Arabidopsis thaliana: one gene and its partners. The protein of the gene in region 2 purifies or fractionates together with the protein of the main gene of each other region. This does not show direct contact. Each region holds a gene or a part of one and is shown on either strand. Other genes may lie near its edges. The genes, in order: EMB3127, CSY2, AT4G00600 and CSY5.

What was found.
Region 1: the proteins of CSY2 (region 2) and EMB3127 fractionate together in Arabidopsis thaliana (co-fractionation; one large-scale study listed by BioGRID). This does not show direct contact.
Region 3: the proteins of CSY2 (region 2) and AT4G00600 fractionate together in Arabidopsis thaliana (co-fractionation; one large-scale study listed by BioGRID). This does not show direct contact.
Region 4: the proteins of CSY2 (region 2) and CSY5 fractionate together in Arabidopsis thaliana (co-fractionation; one large-scale study listed by BioGRID). This does not show direct contact.

The regions. Positions count from the first base shown.
Region 1 is NC_003075.7:258,484-263,313, reverse strand, and holds EMB3127 (Amino acid dehydrogenase family protein), read left to right. Parts: upstream 1-2,024; 5' UTR 2,025-2,525; coding exon 2,526-2,706; intron 2,707-2,858; coding exon 2,859-3,184; intron 3,185-3,261; coding exon 3,262-3,498; intron 3,499-3,600; coding exon 3,601-3,768; intron 3,769-3,878; coding exon 3,879-4,049; 3' UTR 4,050-4,327; downstream 4,328-4,830. Other genes in the region: KEA2 (K+ efflux antiporter 2), read left to right, coding at 173-322, 485-538, 674-732, 823-889, 976-1,152, 1,246-1,302, 1,386-1,460, 1,534-1,659. UniProt on the Arabidopsis thaliana protein: Catalyzes the oxidation of 5,10-methylenetetrahydrofolate to 5,10-methenyltetrahydrofolate and then the hydrolysis of 5,10-methenyltetrahydrofolate to 10-formyltetrahydrofolate.
Region 2 is NC_003074.8:21,723,787-21,729,808, forward strand, and holds CSY2 (citrate synthase 2), read right to left. Parts: upstream 4,352-6,022; 5' UTR 3,673-4,351; coding exon 3,427-3,672; intron 3,296-3,426; coding exon 3,115-3,295; intron 2,970-3,114; coding exon 2,884-2,969; intron 2,596-2,883; coding exon 2,491-2,595; intron 2,400-2,490; coding exon 2,337-2,399; intron 2,248-2,336; coding exon 2,138-2,247; intron 1,980-2,137; coding exon 1,860-1,979; intron 1,782-1,859; coding exon 1,632-1,781; intron 1,541-1,631; coding exon 1,420-1,540; intron 1,310-1,419; coding exon 1,212-1,309; intron 1,117-1,211; coding exon 993-1,116; intron 919-992; coding exon 778-918; 3' UTR 520-777; downstream 1-519. Other genes in the region: AT3G58760 (Integrin-linked protein kinase family), read left to right, coding at 4,781-5,320, 5,510-5,584, 5,675-5,770, 5,865-5,950. UniProt on the Arabidopsis thaliana protein: Peroxisomal citrate synthase required for the fatty acid respiration in seedlings, citrate being exported from peroxisomes into mitochondria during respiration of triacylglycerol (TAG).
Region 3 is NC_003075.7:254,814-258,222, forward strand, and holds AT4G00600 (Amino acid dehydrogenase family protein), read right to left. Parts: upstream 1,798-3,409; coding exon 1,539-1,797; intron 1,430-1,538; coding exon 1,332-1,429; intron 1,244-1,331; coding exon 1,007-1,243; intron 926-1,006; coding exon 758-925; intron 678-757; coding exon 507-677; downstream 1-506. Other genes in the region: AT4G00590 (N-terminal nucleophile aminohydrolases (Ntn hydrolases) superfamily protein), read left to right, coding at 1-67; AT4G00610 (DNA-binding storekeeper protein-related transcriptional regulator), read right to left, coding at 2,144-3,130. UniProt on the Arabidopsis thaliana protein: Catalyzes the oxidation of 5,10-methylenetetrahydrofolate to 5,10-methenyltetrahydrofolate and then the hydrolysis of 5,10-methenyltetrahydrofolate to 10-formyltetrahydrofolate.
Region 4 is NC_003074.8:22,190,764-22,196,955, reverse strand, and holds CSY5 (citrate synthase 5), read right to left. Parts: upstream 4,227-6,192; 5' UTR 4,069-4,226; coding exon 4,018-4,068; intron 3,935-4,017; coding exon 3,881-3,934; intron 3,765-3,880; coding exon 3,723-3,764; intron 3,593-3,722; coding exon 3,527-3,592; intron 3,437-3,526; coding exon 3,371-3,436; intron 3,282-3,370; coding exon 3,168-3,281; intron 3,076-3,167; coding exon 3,012-3,075; intron 2,876-3,011; coding exon 2,793-2,875; intron 2,697-2,792; coding exon 2,644-2,696; intron 2,561-2,643; coding exon 2,483-2,560; intron 2,369-2,482; coding exon 2,240-2,368; intron 2,075-2,239; coding exon 2,032-2,074; intron 1,934-2,031; coding exon 1,847-1,933; intron 1,715-1,846; coding exon 1,613-1,714; intron 1,432-1,612; coding exon 1,324-1,431; intron 1,249-1,323; coding exon 1,198-1,248; intron 1,114-1,197; coding exon 1,040-1,113; intron 957-1,039; coding exon 905-956; intron 803-904; coding exon 710-802; 3' UTR 509-709; and 1 more. Other genes in the region: AT3G60090 (VQ motif-containing protein), read right to left, coding at 5,625-6,098.

The DNA of each region.
Region 1 (4,830 bases), on a different chromosome or scaffold from region 2:
TTTTGGAAAGTTAGGCTCACATCATGATGCAAGCAGTTCTATTAGTTTACAATTAGTCATTTAAATGAAAACTAGAAAACGATATTGTCATGTTTTATGGATATGACAGCTGAGGTTTCAGTTCTACTTTATTCCCATGTTTCCTCTAAGGCTTGATTGGTATTTCTTCCAGGGTATAATGACTCCGCAGCTATCTTCATTACTGTTTCTCGTCGTGGGAATATCAATGGCTCTTACTCCTTGGTTAGCTGCTGGCGGCCAATTAATTGCGTCTCGATTTGAGTTACAAGATGTTCGAAGTTTATTACCAGTTGAAAGCGAGGTACTCCTTCACAACACTTTAAAATAAGTCATTTATCACCATTCCTAGTTTCAATTGTAAATTTAAAACAATAAAGCCATGATTGACCTCAATATCCTTCCGAAGCTCATGCATTCTTGGGGTAAAAATGACTGATCCTTTACTTTCTGAATTTACTTGCAGACGGATGATTTACAGGGTCACATCATTATTTGCGGATTTGGACGAATTGGGCAGGTTGGTATCGTTATCTATAAACTTTGTTGCGAAAACAAACTCCTCTAGAAGTTTAGATAGTTTGATTTAGAGAATAGTTTGGTGATATATGATTAAATTCGTCTTTGACCGCTGCTTTCTAAATGTTAAACGCAGATAATCGCTCAGCTTCTTTCTGAAAGACTTATCCCATTTGTTGCCCTCGATGTCAGCAGGTAATGTAACATGCTTGCCTTGTCTTGCTCAATGTATCTAACCAGCTCTTTATTTGTCTCATTTCGCACCAAAAATCTCTTATTTTACAGTGATAGAGTAGCAATTGGTCGTTCCCTAGATCTTCCAGTTTATTTTGGAGACGCTGGTAGTAGAGAGGTAAGAGTAGAAAGCTGATGAAACAAGTCAAAAGTATAACCACACATCATCCAAAATTATTGACGTTGTTTTACCTATACGTGCAGGTACTCCACAAAATCGGGGCAGATAGAGCATGTGCTGCGGCTATTGCTTTAGACACACCTGGAGCAAATTACAGGTGTGTCTGGGCTCTTAGCAAATATTTCCCCAATGTCAAAACCTTTGTCCGTGCACATGACGTTGATCATGGTCTCAATCTTGAAAAAGCCGGCGCTACCGCTGTAATAACTTCCACAACTTTTCTATTCTCCTTCTGTCATTGCACAACATTTTCAAAGTAAACTGATTAAAATCTCGATACAAAAACTCGTTAGGTTGTTCCTGAGACGCTGGAACCAAGTCTTCAGTTAGCAGCTGCTGTTCTTGCACAGGTACAAGAGATAATTCTTGTAGTCATTAAGTCACCAACAATGTTATTTGGGGTATTTGTTAAACTTGTCGGCTTCTTTTTCAGGCCAAATTACCTACATCAGAAATAGCAACAACGATCAACGAGTTCAGATCTCGTCACTTGTCTGAACTAGCTGAGGTATATATTTGGTCTATTTAAAAAACTACAATTCTTCTTACTCTCCGGTTTAATGGATCCTATGATGGTACAGCTATGTGAGGCAAGTGGAAGCTCTCTAGGTTACGGGTTCTCAAGAAGTACGAGCAAACCAAAACCACCATCACCATCTGAAACATCTGACGATAACCAGATTATTGAAGGCACACTCGCTATCTAACCTTTTTTCTCGCTTCTGGTAAGACCACACAATTTCAACTTCTTTTGCTTAAAACTGTACAGAAACCAAAATCCTTATTTTGAAGAATCTTAGCGGAGAAAAAGTAACAAACTCTCAAAATTTTGATGGGATGATGATGTGTTGAAATTTCTCTAGTTTCTTTCCTCTGGGGGAAAAACAAAGGCAAATAATATTTGTATTCAACATATTGGGTCTAATATGTGAATCTATCCCTCATTTATCCGACACTATTTGTCTGTACTTTCTACCTTTGCTTCACCCTTCAACAATCTTGGCAATCGCAATAACATGACTTGCTCTGATACCACTTGTAGTACATTTAGCTTTGATTGTTGGAGCTCTCGAGTTAAATCACAAGGGTATATATATCTAGTGTGGTACTTTAGACCGCAAATAGAGAATAGACCGTAAGTCAACGAACTTACATGTATTGTTTATATATTGATCAGTGTTAATTACATGATTAATCTGAGTTTAAGACGACTAATCAAATTAAAAAGCTACTAAAAATATGAAGCGGTCCGATTGGATTTATTAAAAAAGAAAAGAAAACGAAAGACTGGTATAATAAAACCGGAAAATTCAGGTGAAATCAACAAACCGGTTTCTTTTGTGATTTGAATGAACTTAAACCCTTGTTGATATCAAAAGAAGAAACCCTAGTCTCTCCGACTCTCCGTAGACGACGAAGTTATCTTCTTCAATTCATCGTCTCTTCTCTGCTCTGCTTTGCTCTAGATCACAAATTAAAAGACTTCATTAGTCTTCCTGTCTCCACCATTACCTTCTTCCTTTTTAACTCAGCCACGACGAGCAGACTATTGTTCTGTTTTCCTTGTATAAAAATGGCGTCGATGATGTTTACCGATTGCTCCTCCACCACGACGTCGCGTCTCATCCATTTGAACCGAAGCAGCGGTACTTTCCTCCTCCGTCAATGCGTCGGCCAACTCCGTTTACAGACCACTGCTTCTGGCCGTGGCTGCTGCATTCGCTCCTCTTCTTCTCCCATTTCTTCCATTTCCGGTAATGATTAAACCTTTTGACTTAATTGAGCACCAAATTTGAACTTGACATCGATTGAAATTTGTAGACAATTAGACTGTTCTTCCCTGGAAAATTGAGTTTCTTTATTCTCATGTTGGAATCATAAATTTTTTTTTTTTTTTTTGGTACAGCTGATACAAAATCAGAGGGTGGCGCAATTGTAATAGATGGAAAGGCTGTGGCAAAAAAGATTAGAGATGAAATCACAATTGAAGTTTCAAGAATGAAGGAATCAATTGGTGTGATTCCTGGTTTAGCAGTAATCCTTGTTGGTGACAGAAAAGATTCTGCAACTTATGTGAGGAACAAGAAGAAAGCTTGTGACTCCGTTGGAATCAAATCGTTCGAAGTTCGTCTAGCTGAAGATTCATCAGAAGAAGAGGTGTTGAAATCTGTATCAGGATTCAATGATGATCCTTCTGTCCATGGAATCCTTGTTCAGTTGCCTCTGCCATCGGTAAACAAAGTCTAATAACTTTCTTCGGAACTTAAATAAACAGTGAATTACAATAGTGTTTTGGGATGTTGTTGCAGCATATGGATGAACAGAACATACTGAATGCGGTTAGTATAGAGAAAGATGTTGACGGATTTCATCCGCTAAATATTGGACGGCTTGCCATGCGTGGAAGAGAACCCTTATTCGTTCCTTGTACTCCAAAAGGATGCATTGAGTTGTTGCATAGATACAACATTGAAATCAAAGGAAAGAGAGCGGTTGTTATCGGAAGGAGTAACATTGTCGGTATGCCAGCTGCTCTTTTACTGCAGGTAATGATGATGATACCTTCTTTAAGATGCCGTTTTTTCTGGTTGTGACATTCGAAAGTTAGTTACATGTTTGGTCTTTATTGTTGTGTTTTGTATTTGTAGAGGGAGGATGCAACCGTTAGCATTATCCATTCAAGAACCAAGAACCCTGAAGAAATCACAAGAGAAGCTGATATTATAATCTCAGCTGTTGGACAGCCAAACATGGTCAGAGGAAGCTGGATAAAACCGGGCGCAGTCCTCATCGATGTTGGGATTAATCCTGTTGAGGTGAGTGGAATTTTCTTTTTGACATATGGTCATGGCGTAATTCAGTGATATAATAAGTTTCAAATCAACCAGTATGCAACATTCATACATGTACATAATATGAATTGCAGGATCCAAGTGCTGCGCGTGGATATCGATTGGTTGGAGACATTTGCTACGAGGAGGCTAGCAAAGTTGCATCAGCCATCACACCTGTTCCTGGCGGTGTAGGACCAATGACCATAGCCATGCTTCTATCCAACACTTTAACATCAGCTAAGAGGATTCACAACTTCCAGTGACGTCACTTAAAAAGAAGATTGCTGGCCTTTTGGGAAACAAACAAATCGTACTCTGTTTTTTGAAGCCAATGATTTACTTTGGTCTTTAAAGAAAGTTATCGTTTTGTTCTATGAAACAAAACATGTAGTTTTTAAGTCACATAAATTGTCTTCAACATTGTTTGTCTCTTCTTGGTATTTTGAGTCAGAACTAGTTTTAACTTATCCCAGCTATGATATATCCCAGCCTCACCCATCGGTCTCTTCGTCATTATACTTTATTTATAACTACCTTTCAACGAAGGTTAATTTGAAACAAGAAAACACAGTCACTTGTTCTACATTACTTTTGTTAAACCCTAACTTGAGCTCGAAGCCACGACCACTGTTCTGTTTTCCTAGTAAAATAATGGCGTCGTTGATGTTAACCGATTGCTCCTTCTCCACGACCTCGCGTCTCATCGATTTGAACCGCCTCAACGGTGCTTTCCTGCCCCGCTGGTGCGTCAGCCAACTCAAGCTTTCCCACCACTGCGCCCGGACGTGGCCGCATGCGCTCCTCTTATACCACTGTGCCCGGACGTGGCCACATTCTCTCCATTCGCTCCTCTTGTATAGACTAAACCTTTTCATCCAATTGCTTACGTATTTTCAGATATCCAACTCTTAAGATTTTACTTTTCTGTTCAGCTGATGAGGCGATGGTATTTGATCAAACGGCTGTGGAACTAAGTATCATGCAGGAGATCAGAGTCGAAACTTCAAGAATGGAGAAACTAATCAGTCCTGGTTTAGCAGTAAT
Region 2 (6,022 bases):
TTGTAGTTCAAAGTGATATATAGGCATGCATGGTTTTATAGTGGGGAAATTTGATAATTTCATTACGTAACACTTTTGTCTTAATACTTTTGTGGGTATGATTGGCGTGAATCTACAGTGTCTTCTTTGTCTTCAATCAGAGTTTTGTGGCTTTTAACCAATTTTAAGTATGTGTCTCTGCGACAGTTATGTATTGTTTTGGTTGCTTCTTACTTCTTTCTGTTAATCAGTGTCAGGTACTCCAGGGTTTGTTATTTAACGTCACTTTTCTTTTATATTTGTTCACACTTCTCACAATTGTTCTCATTTGAAATGGAAATATTATTGGCAATAATGCAAAATGATAGGAAACTTTCAGGCAAATTATAAATACCGTACAAAAAAATATGATATGATGTTCAATGAGTGGTTAGCTTATTGTTATCACTTGGAATCTGCATAACATATTCACCCTAAAAATAACATTCAGTTAATCCTAAATGATATGATTTGGTGGTTGACATTTTCCAAACCAATGTGTTAGACATGTCTTCAGAAATTAACATTAACAGGAATAAAAGCGCAATTTATCAAAAGTACATGTCGTTCCCTATAACAAGATTATTATTATTAAATCATAACATTTTAAAATAACAGACAAACAATAAGAATAGGGTTGTATTATTAAGTGTTTAAGAATAAGAGAAAGAAAACAACACATGTTGTTGAGAAGACTCTCTTGTTTTCCCAGAGGTATCCCAATGTTTTCTTCTTTATTGGTGAGTATTAGGATTGAGACTAAAGGGCAGATGATCCAGCTAAACGCCTTCTTGATGCATTCGAAATGGAAACTTGACCAAACTTATCCTTATCCGAATCACTTGATAACGTTCGTTCTCTCACTGGCTCGTAATGCCTCATCCACACTCCAGTATAGGCCTATATGCAGCCACACAATTCAGTTAGCTCAAACTATAAACCTTTTGATCTATCAAACAAGTTATGTATTTTACCTGTTGGGGTCTCATGATCCTAGTGTCAGGATCATCTAACGACTCACGCCAGTGTGACAAGTATCCAGCCATACGCGGGACTGCGAACAGGACTGTGAAGAATTCTGGTGGGAATCCCATTGCCCTGTGTTTTTCCCCCATTTCAATTACCAACACAAGGTTCAGGTAAAGAACTTAATGGTTACAGGGTCTATGTCAGATGAATCAGCAATGTCTTACCTATAGATTAATCCAGAGTAGAAATCAACATTTGGGTACAGCTTTCTCTTAACAAAATATTCATCAGACAGTGCCGCCTTCTCTAGAGCAACTGCTACCTGAAAACATCATCCGTCAAAACAAAATTTAACCCACAGTCATGTTATATAAGAATTTTTTTGACAACCAAATACTAGGAGAGATACGTGAGCACAAGGATCTACAGTACCTCGATGAGAGGATCCCTACCAACAATGGAGAACACTTCATCTGCCAGTTTTTTTATAACTTTTGCTCGGGGGTCATAGTTTTTGTAAACACGATGTCCAAAACCTGACATCTTCCTCTTTCTGAGAACATAGAAAAGGGATATAACATTACCGGCATGACTCACCACAATTCAGAGTACTTGGTGCTTGTAGTTATTAAGCATTGAGTTACCTGTTCTTCACGCCTTCAATGAAATCTGGAATATTTTCAGCAGTCCCAATCTCTGCTAACATCTTAAGCACGGCCTCGTTCGCGCCACCATGAAGTGGACCATAAAGCGCCCCAACAGCTCCAGCACATGCGGTGTACACATCAACACCACTGCAGAAACACAATACTGATTTAAACACTCAAAGAAGTCTAAATGAATATCTCTAATCAGTGATAACTGATAAGTACCTAGAGGCAAGATGCCGAGCAGCAGCAGTAGAGCAGTTCATTTCATGTTCAGCATGCAGTATGAAGAGGATGTCCAGCACTCGAGCCAAACGAGGATTAGGCTTGTAAGACCTATTGCCCCTGTAATCAATTGAAGATTAAAGAATGTATCCTGTGTTACAGACACGTTTGAAGCTTGAAACAGATTTAAACTGACTAAAGAAACACAGTTTTTCTGACTACCCTTTTAAAATGCAAGTGTTAAATCAAATAAAGACAGAAGAAAGAGGGGAAAGTACATTGAATCCAGCATATAGAGGAAATTCTCTGAATAAGAAAGGTTGGCCGAAGGAAGAACAGGAGGCCTGCCTGCCGTCCTCAAATAAGCAGCTGCTGCAATTGTTGGTGCCTGCAAACACGTTGTAAACCCTTTTTCTAGTCCCGCAACTTATACACAGATACGTTAAGGAAACAAATCATCAACAGATAGAACAATACCTTTCCGAGAATGCGAACAATCTGTTTATCACGAACTTGTTTTGACTTGTAAATGTCTTGGCCCTGCACCCAATGAAAGAAAATCGAGTTGGCATAGCCATTTTCAGAAAAAGGCATCTTGACAGTACGAAAAGAACAGGATTTCAAAACTTACACTAAGAGCAGGATTTGCATCAGGGTGAAAGATAGAAAGTGCACTCATGGCACTCACAAGAACTCCCATTGGGTGTGCATCATGAGGCATGGACTGTATGATATCCTGCAAAAACATTCAGAAATCGTCTCAGATCAAAAATCCATAGAAAATTCTTTTACTAAGCATATACACATAACTATATTCACAACGGCGAGTAAGACATAAGGTACTAATACTAGAAAGAGATCCAGTATCCTTAATAGACATGGTTTACAAGCAAGACAAACAACTTGTACACTTGACAAGAAATCATTTTCAAAATCCCTCTTTGGTTTGGATTTGCATTCTGATACAAAGTTTGGAATTTGCACTAGTATGAAAATCCAAATAACGAAAGAGTAGAAATTTCACCAATACTCCTTGTGGCACAGCTGAATGCTGAGAAACAGTGAACTCCCAATCAGCTAGCTGACTTTGAGAAGGCAGATTTCCATACACTGGAGACAAAAAAAGGGGAATTTTAACACGACACTAAGAGAGACACAATTTTCAAGACATTTTCTTTTCCACAAGTAGACGCCACAAAAGTAAAATAAGCAACAACAACAACAAGAATAAGCAACGAGATTGATAAAGACTTACTGAGGAGATAAGCAACCTCAATAAAAGTACTGCTCTCAGCCAACTCTTCAATTGGGTATCCCCGATAACGTAAGATTCCTTCATCTCCGTCGATGTAACAAATCGAAGATCGAACCGGAGCCGTGTTCAAGTAACCAGGATCGTACAACTTCAGCCCCTTATCATCCTTCCCCGTCGTTATCTGCACACCAAACATGCAAATCCATCAAATTCCTTATCATATTCAGGGAAAATTAGGTGAGACGAATCAAAATTCAGATAAAACTAACTCGATTCCACAATTCTGTTCAGGATTACAAATCCGTTACATACCTTCTTGAGATCAACGGCTTTAACGGTACCATGCTCTGAGACAGGGACCTGATATTTCTTCCCCGTACGCTCATCGACGATCGTCAAGTTTCCTTTGAGTGATCCATGAGGTGCAGCGGTAATGTGAGCCGATGTACACCATGGCGCGATCGCCGGCAACACCTGTTCCAATCCGACGGTATCAGACACCGCCAAATGCGCGGTGAGAACGGCTAATCTAGCTTTCACTCTCTGCGAAATCTCCATTTCTTCCTCTCAAAAAATTTTAAAAAAAATATCTGAATTCAATTTCAAAGGAAGGAAGCGAAGAAGAAGAAGAAGAAACAATCTTGCGGTAAGTGACTTGGCTTTTGTATCCTGCATTTGCTAATTTTGGTAGTAGCTGATATTTTTATTCTCTGCGGGTAAGTGTATTGAAAATCGGATCCATTGTTTATCCAAAGCTCGACGGTGATAAGATTATTCAGCTTAGATCAACGGATAGAATTGTTCGTCAAAAACTAATATGGAAAGTCTAAAGAGGCTTATCTGTCAAGTTTATCAAAGGATTAAGACTTTCGTTTCTGAAATCCACCCGGGCAAGGGCAGTGAAGACTACGCGCTCAATGAGAATGACAGGTGGAAGAACACGAGCGAGTGTCTTTCAGACGCTATGTAGATCGAGTAGAAGTCGATTGGCGTCCTCGGATTGCTAAATAACTATCTGGTTTTCGATAATGGGCCAACTCATTGGTCTCACATTGAGAAATTTAATTTCCCTAAGTGTATTGATCGGCCCATTAGCTCTTTACGCCTGGGCTGATGACAATAGTAATAAGAACAAGGGAAATGGTCCAATATCTTTGCAGTTAAAATTTATGAACATATGGAAATTTTATATTTGTAGCACAAAGATTCACCAGTAAGAGGCTGGTAATACACTGCATTGGGTCACAACGGGCCGGTCCATTAAACCCAATTAACTCTTATGTATGAGAAGGAACTTAAAACCCCATTCAGTTTTTGATGGACTTGTGAACGCTGCTACTAAACCAAGGTCACTTCTCAGTTCTCACAACACATATGTTATGTTTGCAAATTAAATGCAGTTTTATAATTTTTAGTATTTAACTGACTATCCCAAATTATTTTCAAAATATCTTTGAAATTTAAAAAGTGATTCAATTATGAAACCTCCACTCACACTTTTGTACCATCCTTTGCTTTTGCACTAATCAAATTTATTTGTTTGTTCAGTTAAATTGTTCAAAAAAGGAGAAAGTTATGTCCAACAAAAAAGAGAGAAAAAAATGCAATTAGCCTTTTAATAAAAAAAGGAGTAGTAATTACAAAAAAAAATGAAGTACTGTAGATTATGATGAGTAGGGAGGAGGAAAACGAGTATGATACTTCACCCGCATTAAGAGGCAAACCCTTAAAGCCTGCTGATTGGTTGGGACTTTTTTTTCTACTTTTCTTTTTCTTTTCTGTTGCTGCCGTTACAGTTCCATTTACAGCTCATATTGCTTGCGGCAGAAAATTCTCACCAAGTCCTCTGTTGAACATGACGATTAAGCCTAAATCGCCGGCGAGATTCAAGCTAGGTAGGCAGTCTTCGCTTGCGCCGGAATCAAGAACCCCGATTGATACGTTAACGGAAGATGAGGACGACGACTTGGCTGCGGCGGCTACAGCTGGGATCGGGGATCCGACGATTCGTTTAATGTATTTAGCCAACGAAGGTGATATCGATGGCATCAATAAGATGCTTGATTCGGGTACTAATGTTGATTACCGTGACATCGATGCCCGTACTGCTCTTCACGTCGCCGCTTGTCAAGGACGAACCGATGTCGTTGAGCTGCTGCTTAGCCGTGGTGCTAAGGTTGATACGAAGGACCGATGGGGTAGTACGGTATGAATTCGAACTTTCTCTGGGCTGAATTTTGTTTGCTTTGCCTGACTTGACTTCTCGTAGACTCTTTAGTTCGTTTTGTGTTCGACGAATTGCCGCACAAATCATATGTTTTACTGGAGCACTTAGATTTAGCAAACTCGGTTGCAATAACAGTGATGGTTAACAATTTGTGATTGATCTTACCAGCCTCTTGCAGATGCAGTGTATTACAAAAATCATGATGTGATTAAACTTTTGGAGAAACATGGTGCTAAGCCTACGGTATGTGTTTATCCCTCATAGTTGCATTGATGGATGTTTTAGTTTCTGAATGTTTGGATTGATTTCTTTAATAATCGTTTCTGATTTTAGATTGCTCCTATGCATGTCCTAACTGATAAAGAAGTTCCAGAGTACGAGATTCATCCTACAGAGCTTGATTTTTCCAACTCTGTCAAAATTTCAAAGGTAAGTAGTTCCCTTGCCCAAATTTATTTGTTGCTGTTTTCACTTGCTTTTATTTGCTGTTCACAGTTGTAATTACTGTCTGTCTGCTTTACAGGGTACCTTTAACAAGGCTTCATGGCGTGGAATTGACGTGGCTGTTAAAACCTTTGGAGAGGAAATGTTCACTGATGAAGACAAAGTGTGAGTCTACATCCATTGATTTCTTTGTATTATTGTATTAATCATGCTCTAAAGGTTTTCATATCCTTCTGG
Region 3 (3,409 bases), on a different chromosome or scaffold from region 2:
ACAGATGAGTGAGGCTGGGGTAGACCATTTTGAAGCCCGGATTGATCTCCGCCCAACCTGTTGCTGATTAATTTCTGAAGTTTTGGTATTTTGTGGAGAAAAGTTTCAGAATCTGTAACATAGGAGTCATGGGACACACCAAAATGACTTCCAACATCAATCGTAATGACTTCATCCTTAAGCTATCTTCCAAGACTTACATTACGTTAAAAGATACATTTGATAAAGCAAAAATGCTTTTGCCAATCACCACAGTTGCTTCATGGTAGTTCTACTCCCAAAATGAACAAAAGCTCACACACAAACTTATAAAGATCCAAATAATTATCTAGCAAAGCCGCAAGATAATCAGGGAACTCACAATCTGGATAAGGTAACCTCTAAAATCAAAGAACAAGAACCGAAATAATATTATTTCTGACTTAACGCTAAGCAAAAATCATTGGCTTCAAAAAACCAAAGTAAGATTTGTTTATTTAAAAAAAGGCGAGCAATCATCTTTGAAGTCACTGGAAGTTGTGAATTCTCTTGGCTGATGTTAAAGTGTTGGATAGAAGCATGGCTATGGTCATTGGTCCTACATCACCAGGAACAGGTGTGATGGCTGATGCAATTTTGCTAGCCTCCACATAGCAAATGTCTCCAACCAACCGCTCTCCACCGGCAGCACTTGGATCCTGCAATTCATATTACTTTCACATACTGTATTTGATTTGATCATTCATTATACTACCATATGTCAAAAAATTCCACTCACCTCAACAGGTTTAATCCCAACATCGATGAGGACTGCACCCGGTTTTATCCAGCTTCCTCTGACCATGTTTGGTTTCCCAACAGCTGAGATTAGGATATCAGCTTGTCTTGTGAGTTCTTCAGGGTTCATGGTTCTTGAATGGATAATGCTAACGGTTGCATCCTCCTTCTACATTTAGAAAATAAACATCGATAAAGAATGTTGTCCTAACCAGAAAAAATGGCATATTGAAGAAGGAATCATCATTACCTGCAGCAACAGAGCAGCTGGCATACCAACAATGTTACTCCTTCCAATAACAACTGCTCTTTTGCCTTTGAATTCAATGTTGTATCTGTGCAACAACTCGATGCATCCTTTTGGAGTACATGGAACGAATAAAGGTTCTCTACCACGCATGGCAAGCCGTCCAATATTTAGCGGGTGAAATCCATCAACGTCCTTCTCTATACTAACCGCATTCAATATGTTCTGTTCATCCATATGCTGCATATACACGACATCCCAAAACACCGTTGTAATTTACTGTTTATTTTAAGTTATGATGAAGAATATGAAGATAGACTTTGTTTACCGATGGTAGAGGCAACTGAACAAGGACTCCGTGAACAGAAGGATCATCATTGAATCCTGATACATATTTCAACACCTCTTCTTCTGATGAATCTTCAGCTAGACGAACTTGGACTGATTTAATTCCGACGGATTCACAAGCTATTTTCTTGTTCCTCACGTAAGTAGCGGATTCCTTGTTCTTTTCCAACAAGGATTACTGCTAAACCAGGAACCACACCGATTGATTCCTTCATTCTTGAAACTTCGATTTTGATATCATCTCTAATCTTTTTGGCCTCAGCCTTTCCATCAATTACAATCGCAGATGGAGAAGAAGAGGAGCGAATGGAGAGAGTGCAGCGCCAAGTAGACGCAGTTGTCCGTAAGCTGAATTGGCTGACGCTCGGGCGGGGGAGGAAAACACCATTGCGGTTGTATAAATGGATGAGACGCGACGTTGTGGAGGAGGAGCAATCAGTAAACATCATCGACGCCATTTGTTTACTAGGCAAACAGAAGAAAACAAAGTAGATTGTTTCTAAGTTAACGTGTGTGTAAAGGTAGATATAGAAGATATGTACTTATCTTAAATCCATTAGGAATTATCTCCTAGAATCATTATTAGTTTATATCATATCATAATTATCTAACGATTTCATGTCTGTAGTAACAAAGGAAGAAGACTAAGATGCAAACAAAAAACCACCTATTTTTGTTATCCAAAAAAACATCTTTAACATAAAACATATGAATAAACGAGAAAGCCATAAAGGTTCCAACACAAAACCAAAAAGAAAAACATAGGCAAATGCATCTCTAAACAGATAAAGACTAAACATATTTAGCCATCAAAGATCTCATCTCATGCACAACGTCAATCTTCTGCCACGTCGTTTTGAGCTCATCAGCTTGCATGGACTTCACCTTTTCTTCTATCCTCTTCCTCTTCTTCACCGGTACCAAACTCCAATTCTTCTTCCATGTCTCTTCATCAACCCCCGGACCCAATTCTTTAAACGCACCATCAACAAACGACCTCTCGAACCAATCACTTTCTTCATCAACCTTAAGCTTCTTCTTCTTTGGCTTCACAAGAGCAGTAGCATCACCATCACTTACCCAAATTATCTCAGCCAATTCGTAACACTTCTTATCATGCTCTGTAGTAGTTTTCTTGTTCTCAATATACTTTCTCTTCATAGACCGGATTTTGTTAACGAACTGATCAGTCTTCACCTCAAAGCTAATCGAATCTTTAAGTTTTTCGAAAAAGCCATTCATGTCCTCGGAAACATTCTTACCTGTATCCTTAGCAAATTTGATCATTCCTTGAAGAAAGACGATCTCGTCTTCATCAGTCCACAATCTCTGAAACAACAGTGGCTTCTTCCCCGTCTCTGTTTCAGTCTTGGCTCGTTCCTCCTCTGGTTTTCCTTCACTTTGTCTCTTCTCATTCGAAGAAGAAGGAGCAGCAGCAGCAAGAGTCATCGGCTCAGCTTCAGTGTCAGACTCACTCTCCGATCCCGACTCTGAATCGCTGGAAGGCTCATCTTCCTCCTCCTCCTCAGATGAAGTTGATGCGACGGCTTCCAACGGCTTCTTGACCGGAGATGTGACACCCGACGGTTTCTTCGCTGGAGATGCGACTCCCGACAGTTTCTTTGACGTAGATGCGACGTCAGATGACTTCTTCACCGTTGATGGAGTAACCAAAGTCTTGTTCTTGGCCATCGGAGAGAAACGAGAGAGAAATTTGGTAGGGTTTTTAAATAAAAAATTGAGAAGTTGGTCAGTTTTAAGGTTTTGCACCGAAACCATATATTGCATTTGGTTCTTTCCTTAATTACAAGTATCATAAATCTTTGACCAATTTTACGGGGTTTATGGTGTACATCTAAAATTCAAAAAGTAAATGTTAATAAATCTAATTTTGGTAACTGAATTTCCGATTGGTATTTTTAGTATATTAAAAAAATTAAAACTAAATGCTAACTAATCGAGTAATCTTTCTTTAATTGTTTAATGAGATCAATGATTCAGTTAATCAGTAATTACTAATCGAGTAATATCTTTTTTATTTAATTACAATTATCATAA
Region 4 (6,192 bases), 470 kb from region 2:
CACCACTGGACTGGCCATGACAAGGAAGACTAGGATATGTTCTAATAATATATTTCCTGTCCTAGCTAGAAACCTCTGCTCTCGGTTTCTAATAATTCTCGGTAACAGGATCCAGCGACTCCTCTGAAAGTTAGAGAAAACTTGTGAGGAAGAAGACTCAAAATCAATTTCGCATTTCTGGCTTTTTGTGATTACGAAGAGTCTTATACTTAGCCAAATATCTGAAGGTTTAGAAGAGAACACGTTGCATCTTACTGTTCACTGAAGATAGCAAATGTGTTTTGTAGAATCATCATAAAGCTTCGTAGGGAGCTTCTTAAGATAGGAGGAAGCTTCTGTTTGATCCCGAGGCTTTGAATTTCTTGACTCTGCTTCTGTTCACTTCAAACACTCTGTTTGAGCGGGACTGGTTGCATGAGTATTGTTTATTATGCGATAATTCACCAAAGACTAATCAATACATATCAATGGTCATCATTTGTCTATCAAAGTTGAGGAACAATAATATGGTGTCTCAATCTGAGAAAGACTGTTTCTTTACTTGTTTGACTTTATTGTTTTTGCAGAAGAACCAAAATGAAAACTCTGTAGAACAAAATTTCGACGAAAAATCGTTTTTTTTTTATCTCTAAAAGCTACCCAATCAAATGGAAGAGAAGGCTGAAGTGATAAAAGAGAGAACCTTGACCAACATCAGTCAGGGATTAACTTAGCGGTTCAAGCGCGTGAAGTTATCGAGCCAGTCCATGTTTACACTCTTTGGTCTCTCAAGTGGCAGTCCAAGTGCCCTGTCCCATATCAGCTGAAACAGAAAAGGAATAAAAGATTAGTCTGACTTTATTGTGAAGGATATGGCGATACGTACTAAAATCGAATTGTCGATGGCATGAATGTATGTATGTACCTGCGAGCAGATTCCAAGACTTCTTGAGACGCCAAAAAGCACCGTGTAGTATCTATATTTGAAAGGAATGTCACTCTATAATAACCAAGATTCAGCAAAACAAGGTCAAAGCCTCGATACACAAGTAGTTCCTACCTTGCTTCGGTTAGACCATAGTAGTTCAGAAGCACTCCGCTATGAGCATCAACGTTAGGCCACGGGTTCTTGACCTGATACAGCAATTTCAAGATTCATAAAACCAGAGAAAATCAGAAAATCTGGTAGCACATGAAATGAATGAGTATAAGTAGTACCTTTCCCAGCTCGGTTAGAATAGGAGGCACCACTTCATAAAGTTTTGAGACCTATAGACTTGCATAATTTGTGAGCCAGTAAAATTTTAAAGCATGACCAAAGATTTGAGGGGGAAAAAAAGTTACCAGCTGAAAAAGAGGATCATCAGGTAGATGCTTCAAGGCAAACTCTCTTTGGCATATATATCTTGGATCCGTTTTACGCAAAACACCATGGCCATATCCTGGAACAACCTGCAAGACAAATGTTTATTTAAGTTTCCTGACAACATTCACAGGCAAACCCCATAATCAAAACATAATCCGAAGCTTTTATTCATTATTTATACAATAATTCAAGTTATGGCCTGTCATGATTAGCATGCAATACATATGGATAGTTTCAAAAGGCAAAGCAGAGCATAATTTTGTCAACCTTGCCACTGTTTAACGTTTTCCAGACATAATCTTTTAGCTGTTCCTTTGATATACTTTCTCCACATTCCTCAACAACTAATTTGATCCACAGCAAAACTTCCTACAACAAGACAACGAAAAAAAACAGAGTAAGATTCCAAGTTTAAGCTTATAATTAAGAGTCAATCTTAGAGTTCAAGTTATATACACTTGTAGATTCGAACAATATAAGACTCATTAAGGATATAAATACCTGATTAGCCAAACCATGGAGTGGCCCAGCTAAACCATTCAATGCAGCAGCAAATGAAAGATATGGATCTGAAAGTGCACTCCCAACCTAAGTGAAGAAACATCATTAGCCAAAAACAGAACCATCAGAAATGTCTATAAGTTCAAAACATTATCATGCATCAAGATCATGTGGCAAATACATACCAGGTGACCAGCGTGAGCACTAACATTTCCACCTTCATGATCACTAAAACAGAAACCAGTAGACAAGGGAAAAAAAAACCTTGATCATGCTATAGAAATTTGGTAAGAGTTGGTAAAATAAAGGAAGATCATCATTATATACAAGAAAACTTTAGCTTATGTATTCTAATTAATGAGACATGTTGAAACGAAGAGAACCAGGACTAACCTGTGGATAGTGACATAAAGCCTCATGAGCTCTTTCATCTGAGGACTATCAAATCCCAGCATGTGTGAAAAATTTGCACCATAATCCAAAGAATCATCTAATGGAATGATGCTACCATCCTTGTACATCCTGCAATGTGAATTAGAATGGACATTGAAAAATAACACTCTGAAGAAAGGAAAATCTAAGAAAATTAACTAGTCCAGGAAGCTAAAAGCATTGGAAAAGATCCTAAAATTTAACCTCCGATAAACGTATGAAGCTACAACAGGAACACGAGCAATCAAGTTTAGGGCATCTTCGAAGGTTGGTTCCCAGTACCTGACAAGAAACCTCAGTTTCTATGATGCCTACTACTATAAGCCAATCAAGAAACAAAGTATAGAACTATTGAAAGTTTATACTTTGACTTAGAAATATCACCCTGCTCATACGCCTTTTGAAACTCACTTTGAACCTGAATAACAATCAACAAGATAAGATGCTCCTGAAAATAAACAAATTCTAAGAGAATGCATAGAAAAAAAAAATAGTACATAACAGAGCAATCCACCTGAAGGGCCATAACACCACTAGCAAATTGAGTCATTGGATGAGCTGTTGAAGGCAAAGCATCTATAGCTTTGTATATATAATCTGCAATGGAGAGTTGTTATATTTGCAACATCATAATATCCAGTTTATAATTATCATCAGCTTGTATTTTGCTAAGTTTTGATGAGTCATGAAACTGAGGTCATAAACAAACAGAGCCTAGAGGTGAACTACAAACCTGGCACAGCCGCACGATGAGCCAACTCTGTTGACAAAGCATTAGCTTGCTCTTTAGTTGGCACCTATACCGAAAGGAGGGAAAACTATACTTTAGATCATTCATATATAAAGTTGAAACTTATTGTATGTATAAAATGTTTTAAGATTATCACACCTTTCCAGTTAATAGAAGCCACAGAAGACTCTCAGGCAAGGGCTCTTCTCCAGACTCAGCTGAAGGTAATATTTTCTGACATTCAGGAATCGACATGCCTCTAAACCGTATTCCCTGATACAAAAGATAATATCATATGTTATATAATTCTAATTCAAGATCTGACCTGAAAATTATCTATGTGATCAAAATTATAACCATACCTCATCTGCATCAAGCAATGAGGTTTCCCAGAGTAATCCAGTCATCCCTCTCATTCCACCAAGTACCTTCACAAATACCACATGTAAAACTATATATACGAGTATGTTTAAAAGATAAAGCCTTTGTGTAATCACAAATATCATTAGAATCCGTACCATATCAACGGTGATGTTCCCCACTGGAACCTTTCCTTGTTCTGATTTCAGTTTCTTCAAACGGTCCTGAAAGTTGAAAGTTGTGTTTGTGTATGAGAAATGACATCAACTAAAACAGAGAGAAGAGCTTGATCTCTACATGAAATCTGCCCTAAAATTAGAAACAATCTCAATCACAACGAAGTAGAAACTAAACCTGTTGTTCTGGAATGATCTCTTGCATCTGCGACTTCAAGTCCTGCATTACCATCATTTTAAGCAACATCAACACAAAACCTAGAAGGTAAAATTCCAAATTTTTGGTTCTCAAACTGAACCGCATGATCACGAGAACATGAAAACCTAAGAAAGTACCAATTCAGAAGAGTGGAGCCATCTGACGGAGTTACTAAGTGAGGATTGTTGCACCTGTGCTTCTTATATTAGATCTGATCATCAAATTGTATCACATCAAACAAAACACAAAAAGGATGAAAGCTAAATCTACTCACTGCTCGAGACCGTAGTCTTGAAATGGCTGATACGCTGCGAAAAAACACCATTCTTTCAAACCTCACAACACTGATCGGTTACGAATCCAAACAATCAAGATTGGCTTAACCAGATAAGAGATAAAGGGAAAGAGAAAGCGTGGAGAAGAACTAACGGGAAATTCGAAAGTTTCTTCAACGTAGAGAGAAAAATTGAGAGATGTTGAGATATATCTGCAACGTGATGAACAAGCGTCAAATTACAACATATGTAAACCAAACACACGGATTCTTCTTACCAAACCGGTATAATGAACCAATTGATTACCATTTAGAAAACCAAACGAACAGGTTATGTTCGGGTTCGGTTGAGATTGGTTAGTTCCGTCGGTCCGTGAGACGCAAGATTCGAAGCAGCCGTAACGATTCTAATGCCTAAAAAAACGGTCATTAATAAATAAAGAACAAATGGTATGTAGCTTTTGCTGTTGCTAAATAAAAAAGTAGCTTCTTGGTAAAGTCCAAGGGTTTAGATAAAACATAATTTTATTTTGTTGGAAATAAATAAAGTAAAAATGACATTTCACAATTGAAAAAAAAAGTTATAAACTTCGTTATTATAATTTCTTGGTCGAATGGGCGGTTTGATATTCTTCATTCTCCATTAGTTATCAGAAATTTTTATATTCTTTTGAAATACTATTTAATGATGTAACACAACTATTAACAATGATGGATATAGCTATAGCTAGTTAATATTAAAACATTGGATATCATATTATATGACACTATTGATCGTTATGTCATCCAAAAAATAAACTGATATTTCAATGAATGAGATTGGAAAAATATGACATATATCCATTACAACTCATTATAATCATATTACCATATCATTTTAATGTTTATGAAATGTGAGTCCACCTTTCATAATCTAACGTTTTGAGAAGTTAAAATGTAATTTAGCCATAAAGTTTTGAAGGTATATATCAAGAACATCGCCAATAAAACAGAACTTTATTCATTTATATATTCAAATCGAAACTCTTTTAGAGTCATGTAAGAATCATTTATCATTATAGTATTTCGTTAATTCAGTTTAATGGAATTCATTTTTGTTTTATCAAACAATTTGTTGTAAGTAACATGACTTATATATGAATTAACAAACAAAATAATTTGACGAAAAAAAATGAACAATCTAAAAAATTCAATCACAATATCATTCTCGCTTTTCTATATATAAAACTTGCACACGCACGCGTGAGTACAACGTTACACCATTTTTAAGTAGAGTTTTCACATGATCGGAGATCAAAACACAAACTTACTTTTTCTTGGCAAAATCAGTCTACAAACTCATCACTACACTCTTTCTTGGTAAATTAAGTCAGTCTAACAAATTAAATCAAAGGGCACCCAAGCCCAAAAAATCCAAACATTTGTACATATATACAAGTTATGTATGTTCCTACCTATATAGATGATCATCGTCTCAACCTTGGTCTTGTCTTGACCCATGTCTTGTTATGCTCCATATCGAATAAATGATCAAATCATCATCAAAACCAACAGGACTTACGATTAGTAGAAACCCTACATATTAGGGTAAGGTGTGACCAAACTAATTATTGTTGTTGAAGATCAAACCATCGACTTGAGAATATGTTGTCGTCTTCATCAAGATCGATCAAACCGTCAAAATCAAAGTAAGTATTTGTGTTTGAACTTGATCCCCATTCTTCCTTCACCACGTGGCTCCCTATTATTCTGTTGTCCAGTTCAGCCGTATGTTCTTGGCCGGAATCTTGAGGCAAACCCGGTGGCGCAGGAAAATTTGTGTTGGTTATCTTTTTCTTAGAACCGGTTTTGGTGATCTCCGGTTTCCCGGTTAGACTTTGGACGAGTGTGCGGAAGTTCTTGACATCGGTGTTGATGATCTCGGGAGCAAATATATGGATGATACGGATCTTAGGCTTGATCTTGGTTATTATTTGGGAGTTCTTGTTCATGGGAACCAAAGTTTTTGAATAATCACCATAAAAGGTTTGATGAGGAAGATGATCTATATCGTACTCAGCCTTCATAGAATTTCTCACCATATAAACGTAAAAAGAAGATGAAGAAGCGAAGATTTTGGGTTTTTCTTTTTTGGATTTCAGGTTTCTTGTATTGTTTTGGGAAATGATATGCATA